Linked DNA regions of Saccharomyces cerevisiae S288C. The gene in region 1 interacts genetically with each later gene. Each region holds a gene or a part of one and is shown on either strand. Other genes may lie near its edges.

Evidence for each region. Genes that interact genetically often act in the same process or in processes that back each other up.
Region 2: of SOD1 (region 1) and JAC1, a mutation in one rescues a mutant of the other (synthetic rescue), as found in Saccharomyces cerevisiae (2 studies listed by BioGRID).
Region 3: of SOD1 (region 1) and TKL1, extra expression of one rescues a mutant of the other (dosage rescue), as found in Saccharomyces cerevisiae (3 studies listed by BioGRID, with this or other methods).

What each region holds. Positions count from the first base shown.
Region 1 is NC_001142.9:621,738-625,328, reverse strand, and holds SOD1 (superoxide dismutase SOD1), read left to right. Parts: upstream 1-2,314; coding exon 2,315-2,779; downstream 2,780-3,591. Other genes in the region: ECM27 (Ecm27p), read right to left, coding at 1-491; ADO1 (adenosine kinase), read right to left, coding at 726-1,748; CTP synthase URA8, read right to left, coding at 2,839-3,591. UniProt on the Saccharomyces cerevisiae protein: Destroys radicals which are normally produced within the cells and which are toxic to biological systems.
Region 2 is NC_001139.9:458,610-461,352, reverse strand, and holds JAC1 (J-type chaperone JAC1), read left to right. Parts: upstream 1-1,688; coding exon 1,689-2,243; downstream 2,244-2,743. Other genes in the region: ATE1 (arginyltransferase), read right to left, coding at 1-1,499; casein kinase 2 regulatory subunit CKB1, read right to left, coding at 2,361-2,743. UniProt on the Saccharomyces cerevisiae protein: Co-chaperone required for the assembly of iron-sulfur (Fe/S) clusters in mitochondria. Stimulates the ATPase activity of its specialized Hsp70 chaperone partner SSQ1, to mediate the transfer of iron-sulfur clusters from ISU1 to GRX5.
Region 3 is NC_001148.4:692,296-696,399, reverse strand, and holds TKL1 (transketolase TKL1), read left to right. Parts: upstream 1-1,561; coding exon 1,562-3,604; downstream 3,605-4,104. Other genes in the region: OPY2 (Opy2p), read left to right, coding at 1-663; tyrosine protein phosphatase LTP1, read left to right, coding at 3,982-4,104. UniProt on the Saccharomyces cerevisiae protein: Catalyzes the transfer of a two-carbon ketol group from a ketose donor to an aldose acceptor, via a covalent intermediate with the cofactor thiamine pyrophosphate.

The DNA of each region.
Region 1 (3,591 bases):
ATGGCAGCTAAAGAAAATAACAAGTCTCTCATGATGGATAGTTTTTGAATTTGCGAGATTTCAATGTGAGTTCTTGACATAATAATAAAAATGGAGCCCTCTACAATGCACAGGATAATGCCGCAAGCGCCAAGCACCTCACCAATTGATAGCGATACTGAGGTTGACCTTGTTTCTCTCGTAGAGGTTGCCCAGCTCATTAAGTTGGAAAATAGGTCAGGCGAAGAGTTACACCAAGATAGTAGAACTGCCATTAATGCCCCAGTATGAGATGCATGGGACGCCGTTTTTGAGACTAAAGAACCATTCGATCGAAGGCTGTTGGGATCTGATATATGGGCCACGTTGGGGCAAAGAAAATCGGATGCACATATTCCTAATAACACGAAAGCAATAATGATATGAAATAAGCTCGGCACAATAAACGTTACTGAAAGTTTAGGATCCTTGTAAAGTAATCGTGGATGGGCGACATTGATTGCCCAGTCCATATTATTGTGTTATTGTTGCTTGTGTACGGCCGTATGTGGAGAGGATGAACGAGTATTTTGTTCTTAGCGCTGCTTGTCCTTTTTTCTTGAAGCTGTACTTTATAGCGCCTCTTTTCCTTATTGTGGTAACGGTGGCTTATTTGGTTTAAGAACAAGCGGTAAACATGTCTACGAATGAAAAGCTAGAGGGAACACGTAGAGTATATTTTATTTCTATTATATTGTAAGAAGAATCTATTTAGAGTAAGATATTTTTTCGGAAGGGTAAGAGGGACCAACTTCTTGAATAGACAAAGCAGCTAGCCATTGACCCATGTCAATAGAGGTTTCCAAATCTTCACCTTTAGTCAACCCAGCCATAAAGCCACCAGCGAAGGCGTCACCAGCACCGTTGGTGTCGACGATCTTAGAAGAGTCCAAAGGTTTGACTGGATATGTGCTGGTACCCTTGGAGGACACGACCACTGTTGGTTCGACACCGTGGGTGAAGATGACAGTCTTTTCAACTGGAGAGTCCTTGACAATTCTTTGAGCAATAGCTTCCAAATCAGTGTTGGCACAGTCTAATTGGAAGGCGTCGCAAAAGGCTTCGGCCTCCGATTCGTTAGCGATGATGACGGTAGCATAAGGCAAAACTCTGGCCAATGCGTCTTTGAAGACATGAGGAATGAAAGGAGCACTAAAGTTCAACACGAAAGGTTTGCTGTTCTCTTTAGCATGTTGGCCCAACTTAACGATAGCGTCTGGAGACACGGTCAAGTGGAAACCACCGATGTAGAAGAGCTTAGCTGCTTCGACCAAGTCCCAATGCTTGTCCAAGTGGTCTGGAGTAAAGAAATTGGCAGCACCCAAGTCAGTGACCAAGGACCGGTTATGGCCAGTGATTAATGCGGCACACTTACCGGTACCAATATCATTTTGAACTTGGTACATAGACTTGACACCAGCTTTTTCGTTTTCGTTAAGCAATCTCTCGCTGAACTTGTCCTTACCGACGGAACCGAAGTACACCACCTGGCCGGCGCCCAAAACGTATGCTGCCCCTCTAGCAGTGTTTTGAGCAGCACCACCTGCAACAAGCTTTGTTTCTGGCATCTGTAAGAGCTCGTCAAAAATAGCCATCTTAGCATCGCCTGATTTGGCATCGACCAAAATTGCGTCGTTTTCCTTTAGAGAATACTTGGCCAGGTATTCAGCCGTGACGTCGGCTTGGAAATCTAAAAGTGGGTTACCCAATACTACCAATGGTGCGGTCATAATTGCTTGCTCTTTCTTTTGCTGTTATCTTTGGTTCTACCCTGCACAAGATAAACTGAGATGACTACCTAATTAGACATGGCATGCCTATAAGTAAAGAGAATTGGGCTCGAAGAATAATTTTCAAGCCTGCCCTCATCACGTACGACGACACTGCGACTCATCCATGTGAAAATTATCGGCATCTGCAAAAAAAGTTTCAACTTCCACAGGTAATATTGGCATGATGCGAAATTGGACGTAAGTATCTCTGAAGTGCAGCCGATTGGGCGTGCGACTCACCCACTCAGGACATGATCTCAGTAGCGGGTTCGATAAGGCGATGACAGCGCAAATGCCGCTTACTGGAAGTACAGAACCCGCTCCCTTAGGGGCACCCACCCCAGCACGCCGGGGGGTTAAACCGGTGTGTCGGAATTAGTAAGCGGACATCCCTTCCGCTGGGCTCGCCATCGCAGATATATATATAAGAAGATGGTTTTGGGCAAATGTTTAGCTGTAACTATGTTGCGGAAAAACAGGCAAGAAAGCAATCGCGCAAACAAATAAAACATAATTAATTTATAATGGTTCAAGCAGTCGCAGTGTTAAAGGGTGATGCCGGTGTCTCTGGTGTTGTCAAGTTCGAACAGGCTTCCGAATCCGAGCCAACCACTGTCTCTTACGAGATCGCTGGTAACAGTCCTAACGCAGAACGTGGGTTCCACATTCATGAGTTTGGAGATGCCACCAATGGTTGTGTCTCTGCTGGTCCTCACTTCAATCCTTTCAAGAAGACACATGGTGCTCCAACTGACGAAGTCAGACATGTCGGTGACATGGGTAACGTAAAGACGGACGAAAATGGTGTGGCCAAGGGCTCCTTCAAGGACTCTTTGATCAAGCTTATCGGTCCTACCTCCGTTGTAGGCAGAAGCGTCGTTATCCACGCCGGCCAAGATGACTTAGGTAAGGGTGACACTGAAGAATCTTTGAAGACTGGTAATGCCGGTCCAAGACCAGCCTGTGGTGTCATTGGTCTAACCAACTAATGTTAATGATAATATACTTGAATAAAAACCGTATGTAAGTAAGTAGTAAGCGCATCAATTCATTCATTTTCATTTCCCTCGCTTAGATTTATGTCCTTGATCACTTCACCAAGTGTGCCGGAGGCTGCGGCCACAAGCCCCCAAAACGGTCTTGATGGTTCCAGCACCTTCGATGTATACTCTGGATGGTATTGAGTGCCCACGTAGTATGGATGGCCTTTCAATTCGAATATTTCGCAACGCTGGCCCGTCTCGTCCTTACCAACAAAAATAAAGCCACGAGACTCCATATCATTCACTATTTTCGGGTTTATCTCATAGCGATGACGATGTCTCTCATGCACCTCATTAACTTCACCATAAAGCTTCCTTATGTTGCTCCATTCTGAGTTCGGTTGGAAAATGGTAGGCCTCAAACCCAATCTCATCGTGCCACCCATGTGTTCCTTGTCGATCTCGGGCATGTATATGACTACTTGGTCTTCAGGAGCTAGTAGTGTCTCGTCCAAAAATTCTGTAGAACTGCTGTTTGGGCGGCCTATCACATTGCGGGCGAACTCGATAGCGGCAACTTGTAATCCAAGACAGACACCAAGAAAGGGAACACCGGATTCACGGGCCCATTTGGCAGCAAGAATCATACCTTCAATACCTCTCGTGCCAAATCCACCAGGAACCAAAATTCCGTCGGCGGAACTGAGCTTATTCCATGAATCGTGGAACTTGTTCTTGTCCACCTCTTGAGTTTCGGGCTCTAGGTTACTTGCCTCTACCCAGAGGATTTCTAGCTGACGACGGCACTTCATGCTTGC
Region 2 (2,743 bases), on another chromosome or scaffold:
CTATATAAAATGACGGCTTTCATACAAGTTTCGAAGCCAAATAACCGTATCACGTCACAAATACGTTTCTTGACATTCGGAGGTTCGCTATAAAAGTTAATTAATGGTCGAATCCCCTCCGTTTCGATTTCGAAGAGAAATAGTCTTCCCTCCAGGTCAGTGATCTTGCCAGATTGCATAATGTCCAGCAATTCCCATAGCGGGAGTAATCCCGGCACCACATTAGGAATACCATTTGGAGCATGGCCATTGTGTTCTTTCAAATGGTAGATGGTATCTAAATCTTCCTCTTCGTACGGTATACCGTAAAGTTCTTTCAATTCCAATGCAGATTCATTTGCAGATTTAAACGCACACCCTCCCACACCGTATATTTCCTCAGCAATATTCTTGTACTTGACAACATTATCAGTGGGAAATCCCTCCCCTCTTCCGGTTTCAGAGTCAACGAGGTAGAGCTCCTTAGTAACTTTCGTCTCTTCTTCACCTATGACAAAGAGTTTGCCCCTAGAAATCATATCCTGAATGGGTTTCAATGGGATATATTTACTGTGACACACATCCAGTACTTCCGCACCATAGTTTGCTTTATAATTCATCTTCGGACAGTCCTCAATATAGTACCCCAGGTAATAGTATTGCAGATTTGTCCTTTGAATGATGGCAAGATCGCGCAAAGCACTGAGCTTCCCTAGGGACCATTTACTGTAGTCTGGATCCCAAATAAAATATACCGAAGATATACCACTGGGCAAGATATCTGACACAGTGATGGCAATTAATTTACCCTCATAGTAGTAGCATTCGTGCACAGGACCCATATGCTTCAGTTTCTCGCCTGGCTTCATTCGCTGCCAATTGTTTAACTGCTCCCATGATTCTTGTGTCCCCAACACCGCTTCAGGGCCAAAGGGCGTATCACATAGGAATCGCTTAAAGGACTTCGGCGAATTATTGTAGTCTTGATGCACTTTTTCCTGATATTTGACAAATAAGTGATACTTTTCTTCACTATAAAGTGCAGGCTCAAATCGGGTATAGAATGTTTTAGAATTCATCTCTGCATTAACAATTTTGCCCACAAAATCACTGCTTGCAACAGCGGCTGGGCAGTAGTCCTCACTTGTTATTCTAGTAGCAAAGCGGCTGATGCATTTTTTCAATTCCTTTGTCATATTCAATTCTTGAGGGGCAGTTCGAATGGTGTATAACCTACAACAATTCCTCAACGGGTCCACTTTATAAAGAAACTTACCAGACCTTCTAAATCCCATATTACACATGCGATCATACGTGGCTACATCCATATGTTCCACGAAAGAGCCAATTGTGCAGTTTTCAATCTTTACAACGTCCATTTTGTTCATATAACGATGAGCCCACGAATCCAATGCGAACAACTGATCCATGTTGCCCCCCTTATTACCGTGACAATACCCACACTTTGCGGCAGGTTCATTGTGCATCGAGGGAGCCCAAATAACGAATCTATCGGACATAATTGTGCTTCTTCTCAGTTGTATCTTGAGACTATCTTGTCTTTTGTAACAATAGCAATGAAACTCACAGCGTAATTCTTAACAATAGGTAAAAAAAAAACGAAAAAGAAAAGGAAACTAAAAAGATGATGCGAAATTAAAGGCTGAGGCTGATAATGGAAACAGGTATCAAGAAGCCCCACAAGCACAATGTTGAAATACTTGGTTCAACGAAGATTCACTTCTACATTTTACGAGCTGTTCCCAAAGACCTTCCCCAAAAAGCTACCCATTTGGACTATCGATCAATCCAGATTAAGGAAGGAGTATAGGCAATTACAAGCACAGCACCATCCAGACATGGCCCAACAAGGTAGTGAACAGTCATCAACTCTTAATCAAGCTTACCATACTCTCAAAGATCCCCTTAGAAGGTCACAATATATGCTAAAACTCTTGCGCAATATCGATTTGACGCAAGAACAGACCTCAAATGAAGTAACTACCAGTGATCCACAGTTACTATTGAAAGTTCTAGACATCCATGATGAATTATCCCAGATGGACGACGAAGCTGGTGTGAAGCTGCTTGAAAAGCAAAACAAGGAAAGAATTCAAGATATTGAAGCCCAGTTGGGACAATGCTACAATGACAAGGATTACGCCGCCGCAGTGAAGTTGACCGTGGAGCTAAAGTACTGGTACAACTTGGCCAAGGCATTCAAAGACTGGGCTCCAGGAAAACAATTGGAAATGAATCACTAAAGTACTCCAAAGTGGTAATAGTAATAATAATAATAGTGGTGATATAAAAACTGAAACAATGTAAATAGGTAAAGTACATATGTATATGGTAGGGCAAAGAGGAAAATAAATCAAGGGTTAAACCGCCGGTGTCTCGAACTCGCATTTGGCAAATTCTTCCCAGTCCTCCTCCGTGGATGGATATTGTCTCAACCACTTCATTCTAGGACCAGATACTGCCTCATCATTTATCCTGAACCCAAAAACTTTCAACTCGTAGGACTCTTTACTTTTCCTTTCCACATACTCTTCCAATTCTTTGAAATGTTTCAAGAACACACCAGGGAAGCTTGTCCCCCAAAATGCACCTTCTAAGCACAGGAATCTAGATGATTGGGGAAGATACAAGTCCTGACAACTGGGACAGTACAACCTTACGGTGTGTTTCCCAACTGTATCGCTCAACCCACAAGGCAGCAACTGCATGCCATTACAATAGTAACGGGGGCACGTTCCAAATT
Region 3 (4,104 bases), on another chromosome or scaffold:
AATGAAGAGGAATACTTCGACGATGAAGACGATGATGATGAAGACGATGAGGATGATGGCGGTATGAGAAAAGATGAAAGTCACACCCTGTTCAATACGTCACTGGTACCTCCAACTCTCAACGTGCCGGGAAACAGAAGTTCAGCATCTACCACTCGTACAAGGGCTTCTAATATTTTGCCTATTGCCTACATTCCTGGTGTGACAAGCGGTTTGAGTACCGACAAACTGCAATCAAAACTACGCTCGAGCTCTAAGAGACAAAATGCAGCTGGTGATATCAGGTCACATATAACCTTAGGTTCTTCCATCTTGGATGGTCTGGATGACGAAGATGACGAGCATAACCAGGTACTCAATAAGGACGCAGACGATAACCTCATAACTGCTATTCGTGCTAAACCTAAACTGGTTCAAATCGCAGAGGAAGAGAGTGATAAGGAGATTCAGGACTTGGATGTCATTGAAGAACAGACAGAGGCGGATGATCTTTCACACATGGCAAAAAGCGAGGCAAGCCATGGTAATAACGACGAAGATGACGATGAAGAAGGAAGTTTTATACTGGACTTGGAAATTCCAGAATCGATACGCGAGAGCACCCAGGGCAGTCGCACTGAGAGCCCGTTTGAGGACAAGTTCGAAATACACGATGAACGATAAATAAAAGGCGTGTCAGTATTCTGCAATCCCGGGGAAAATATTATATCATATCAATATTCAATGATCTACGTCTATATAGTTACGTGTATACGCCGTAATAAGCGCTTTTTTTTTTTTTTTAATTTTCTGACTACTGTTCAGCCATCAAGGTATGTCTAAATTAATAATATTCAGCATTTTCAACGTGCGCTTACCATCTGCTAATACACAGCTCCTCTGAAAGTTTCTTGGCCGAATGTCATAATTTTCGAACCAAATATAAAAATTCATACACATTAAAACAAGATGTGCTTACAAAGCGGATAAGTTCCGCAGCAGCCAAAGCTGCATTGAGACATTTTTCGCATACACATCACTTCTCTGGGGAATGAAGCATCCGAAAACGCCAACGGGACTAAAATACAGCAAACTTGCATTTTGGTCATTTATGGTTAGCAAGTTTAAGTGCTACTACATTACATATTACCTGACCCTGAAAACGGGCTTAAAAGCCCATCTACTATAGTGCCGCTGCGGGTAACCGTAGCTTCTTGCTTTTTTTCCCACCGTCATTTATTTTCTAGTCTTCTTTCCGAGAAATGCCGGCGGCGTTTGCCGTTCCGTTCGCAATCTCTCGAGAAGTTCGAGAGATGAAAAATTTTCTTGGGAAAGCCAAGAAGGTACGATCGTAGGCATGATTCATATATAAACTCTTTCCCAATCTTTTTGGTTACGTACATACTCCCCCCTGATCTTTTACCTACATACTTGATCGTGACTTCTTGATTCATTCATTTCTTGTTCTCACCGTTGTCTTCCTTTTAAATTTCGTTTTTTAAGTTTCAGATCAAACTGAAGTACAACAGAGAAGGAAGCTCATCCCAAGCAACTCTACATAGTTACCTCTTTAGCAAACAAAATGACTCAATTCACTGACATTGATAAGCTAGCCGTCTCCACCATAAGAATTTTGGCTGTGGACACCGTATCCAAGGCCAACTCAGGTCACCCAGGTGCTCCATTGGGTATGGCACCAGCTGCACACGTTCTATGGAGTCAAATGCGCATGAACCCAACCAACCCAGACTGGATCAACAGAGATAGATTTGTCTTGTCTAACGGTCACGCGGTCGCTTTGTTGTATTCTATGCTACATTTGACTGGTTACGATCTGTCTATTGAAGACTTGAAACAGTTCAGACAGTTGGGTTCCAGAACACCAGGTCATCCTGAATTTGAGTTGCCAGGTGTTGAAGTTACTACCGGTCCATTAGGTCAAGGTATCTCCAACGCTGTTGGTATGGCCATGGCTCAAGCTAACCTGGCTGCCACTTACAACAAGCCGGGCTTTACCTTGTCTGACAACTACACCTATGTTTTCTTGGGTGACGGTTGTTTGCAAGAAGGTATTTCTTCAGAAGCTTCCTCCTTGGCTGGTCATTTGAAATTGGGTAACTTGATTGCCATCTACGATGACAACAAGATCACTATCGATGGTGCTACCAGTATCTCATTCGATGAAGATGTTGCTAAGAGATACGAAGCCTACGGTTGGGAAGTTTTGTACGTAGAAAATGGTAACGAAGATCTAGCCGGTATTGCCAAGGCTATTGCTCAAGCTAAGTTATCCAAGGACAAACCAACTTTGATCAAAATGACCACAACCATTGGTTACGGTTCCTTGCATGCCGGCTCTCACTCTGTGCACGGTGCCCCATTGAAAGCAGATGATGTTAAACAACTAAAGAGCAAATTCGGTTTCAACCCAGACAAGTCCTTTGTTGTTCCACAAGAAGTTTACGACCACTACCAAAAGACAATTTTAAAGCCAGGTGTCGAAGCCAACAACAAGTGGAACAAGTTGTTCAGCGAATACCAAAAGAAATTCCCAGAATTAGGTGCTGAATTGGCTAGAAGATTGAGCGGCCAACTACCCGCAAATTGGGAATCTAAGTTGCCAACTTACACCGCCAAGGACTCTGCCGTGGCCACTAGAAAATTATCAGAAACTGTTCTTGAGGATGTTTACAATCAATTGCCAGAGTTGATTGGTGGTTCTGCCGATTTAACACCTTCTAACTTGACCAGATGGAAGGAAGCCCTTGACTTCCAACCTCCTTCTTCCGGTTCAGGTAACTACTCTGGTAGATACATTAGGTACGGTATTAGAGAACACGCTATGGGTGCCATAATGAACGGTATTTCAGCTTTCGGTGCCAACTACAAACCATACGGTGGTACTTTCTTGAACTTCGTTTCTTATGCTGCTGGTGCCGTTAGATTGTCCGCTTTGTCTGGCCACCCAGTTATTTGGGTTGCTACACATGACTCTATCGGTGTCGGTGAAGATGGTCCAACACATCAACCTATTGAAACTTTAGCACACTTCAGATCCCTACCAAACATTCAAGTTTGGAGACCAGCTGATGGTAACGAAGTTTCTGCCGCCTACAAGAACTCTTTAGAATCCAAGCATACTCCAAGTATCATTGCTTTGTCCAGACAAAACTTGCCACAATTGGAAGGTAGCTCTATTGAAAGCGCTTCTAAGGGTGGTTACGTACTACAAGATGTTGCTAACCCAGATATTATTTTAGTGGCTACTGGTTCCGAAGTGTCTTTGAGTGTTGAAGCTGCTAAGACTTTGGCCGCAAAGAACATCAAGGCTCGTGTTGTTTCTCTACCAGATTTCTTCACTTTTGACAAACAACCCCTAGAATACAGACTATCAGTCTTACCAGACAACGTTCCAATCATGTCTGTTGAAGTTTTGGCTACCACATGTTGGGGCAAATACGCTCATCAATCCTTCGGTATTGACAGATTTGGTGCCTCCGGTAAGGCACCAGAAGTCTTCAAGTTCTTCGGTTTCACCCCAGAAGGTGTTGCTGAAAGAGCTCAAAAGACCATTGCATTCTATAAGGGTGACAAGCTAATTTCTCCTTTGAAAAAAGCTTTCTAAATTCTGATCGTAGATCATCAGATTTGATATGATATTATTTGTGAAAAAATGAAATAAAACTTTATACAACTTAAATACAACTTTTTTTATAAACGATTAAGCAAAAAAATAGTTTCAAACTTTTAACAATATTCCAAACACTCAGTCCTTTTCCTTCTTATATTATAGGTGTACGTATTATAGAAAAATTTCAATGATTACTTTTTCTTTCTTTTTCCTTGTACCAGCACATGGCCGAGCTTGAATGTTAAACCCTTCGAGAGAATCACACCATTCAAGTATAAAGCCAATAAAGAATATAACTCCTAAAAGGCTAATTGAAACCCTGTGATTTTTGATAAGCGATAGAAAACTGAGAAGGGAAAGTTAACACGAAAATGACAATTGAAAAACCAAAAATATCGGTCGCATTCATTTGTTTGGGTAACTTCTGTAGATCACCAATGGCGGAAGCCATTTTCAAACATGAAGTCGAAAAGGCTAATCTAGAAAATCGATTC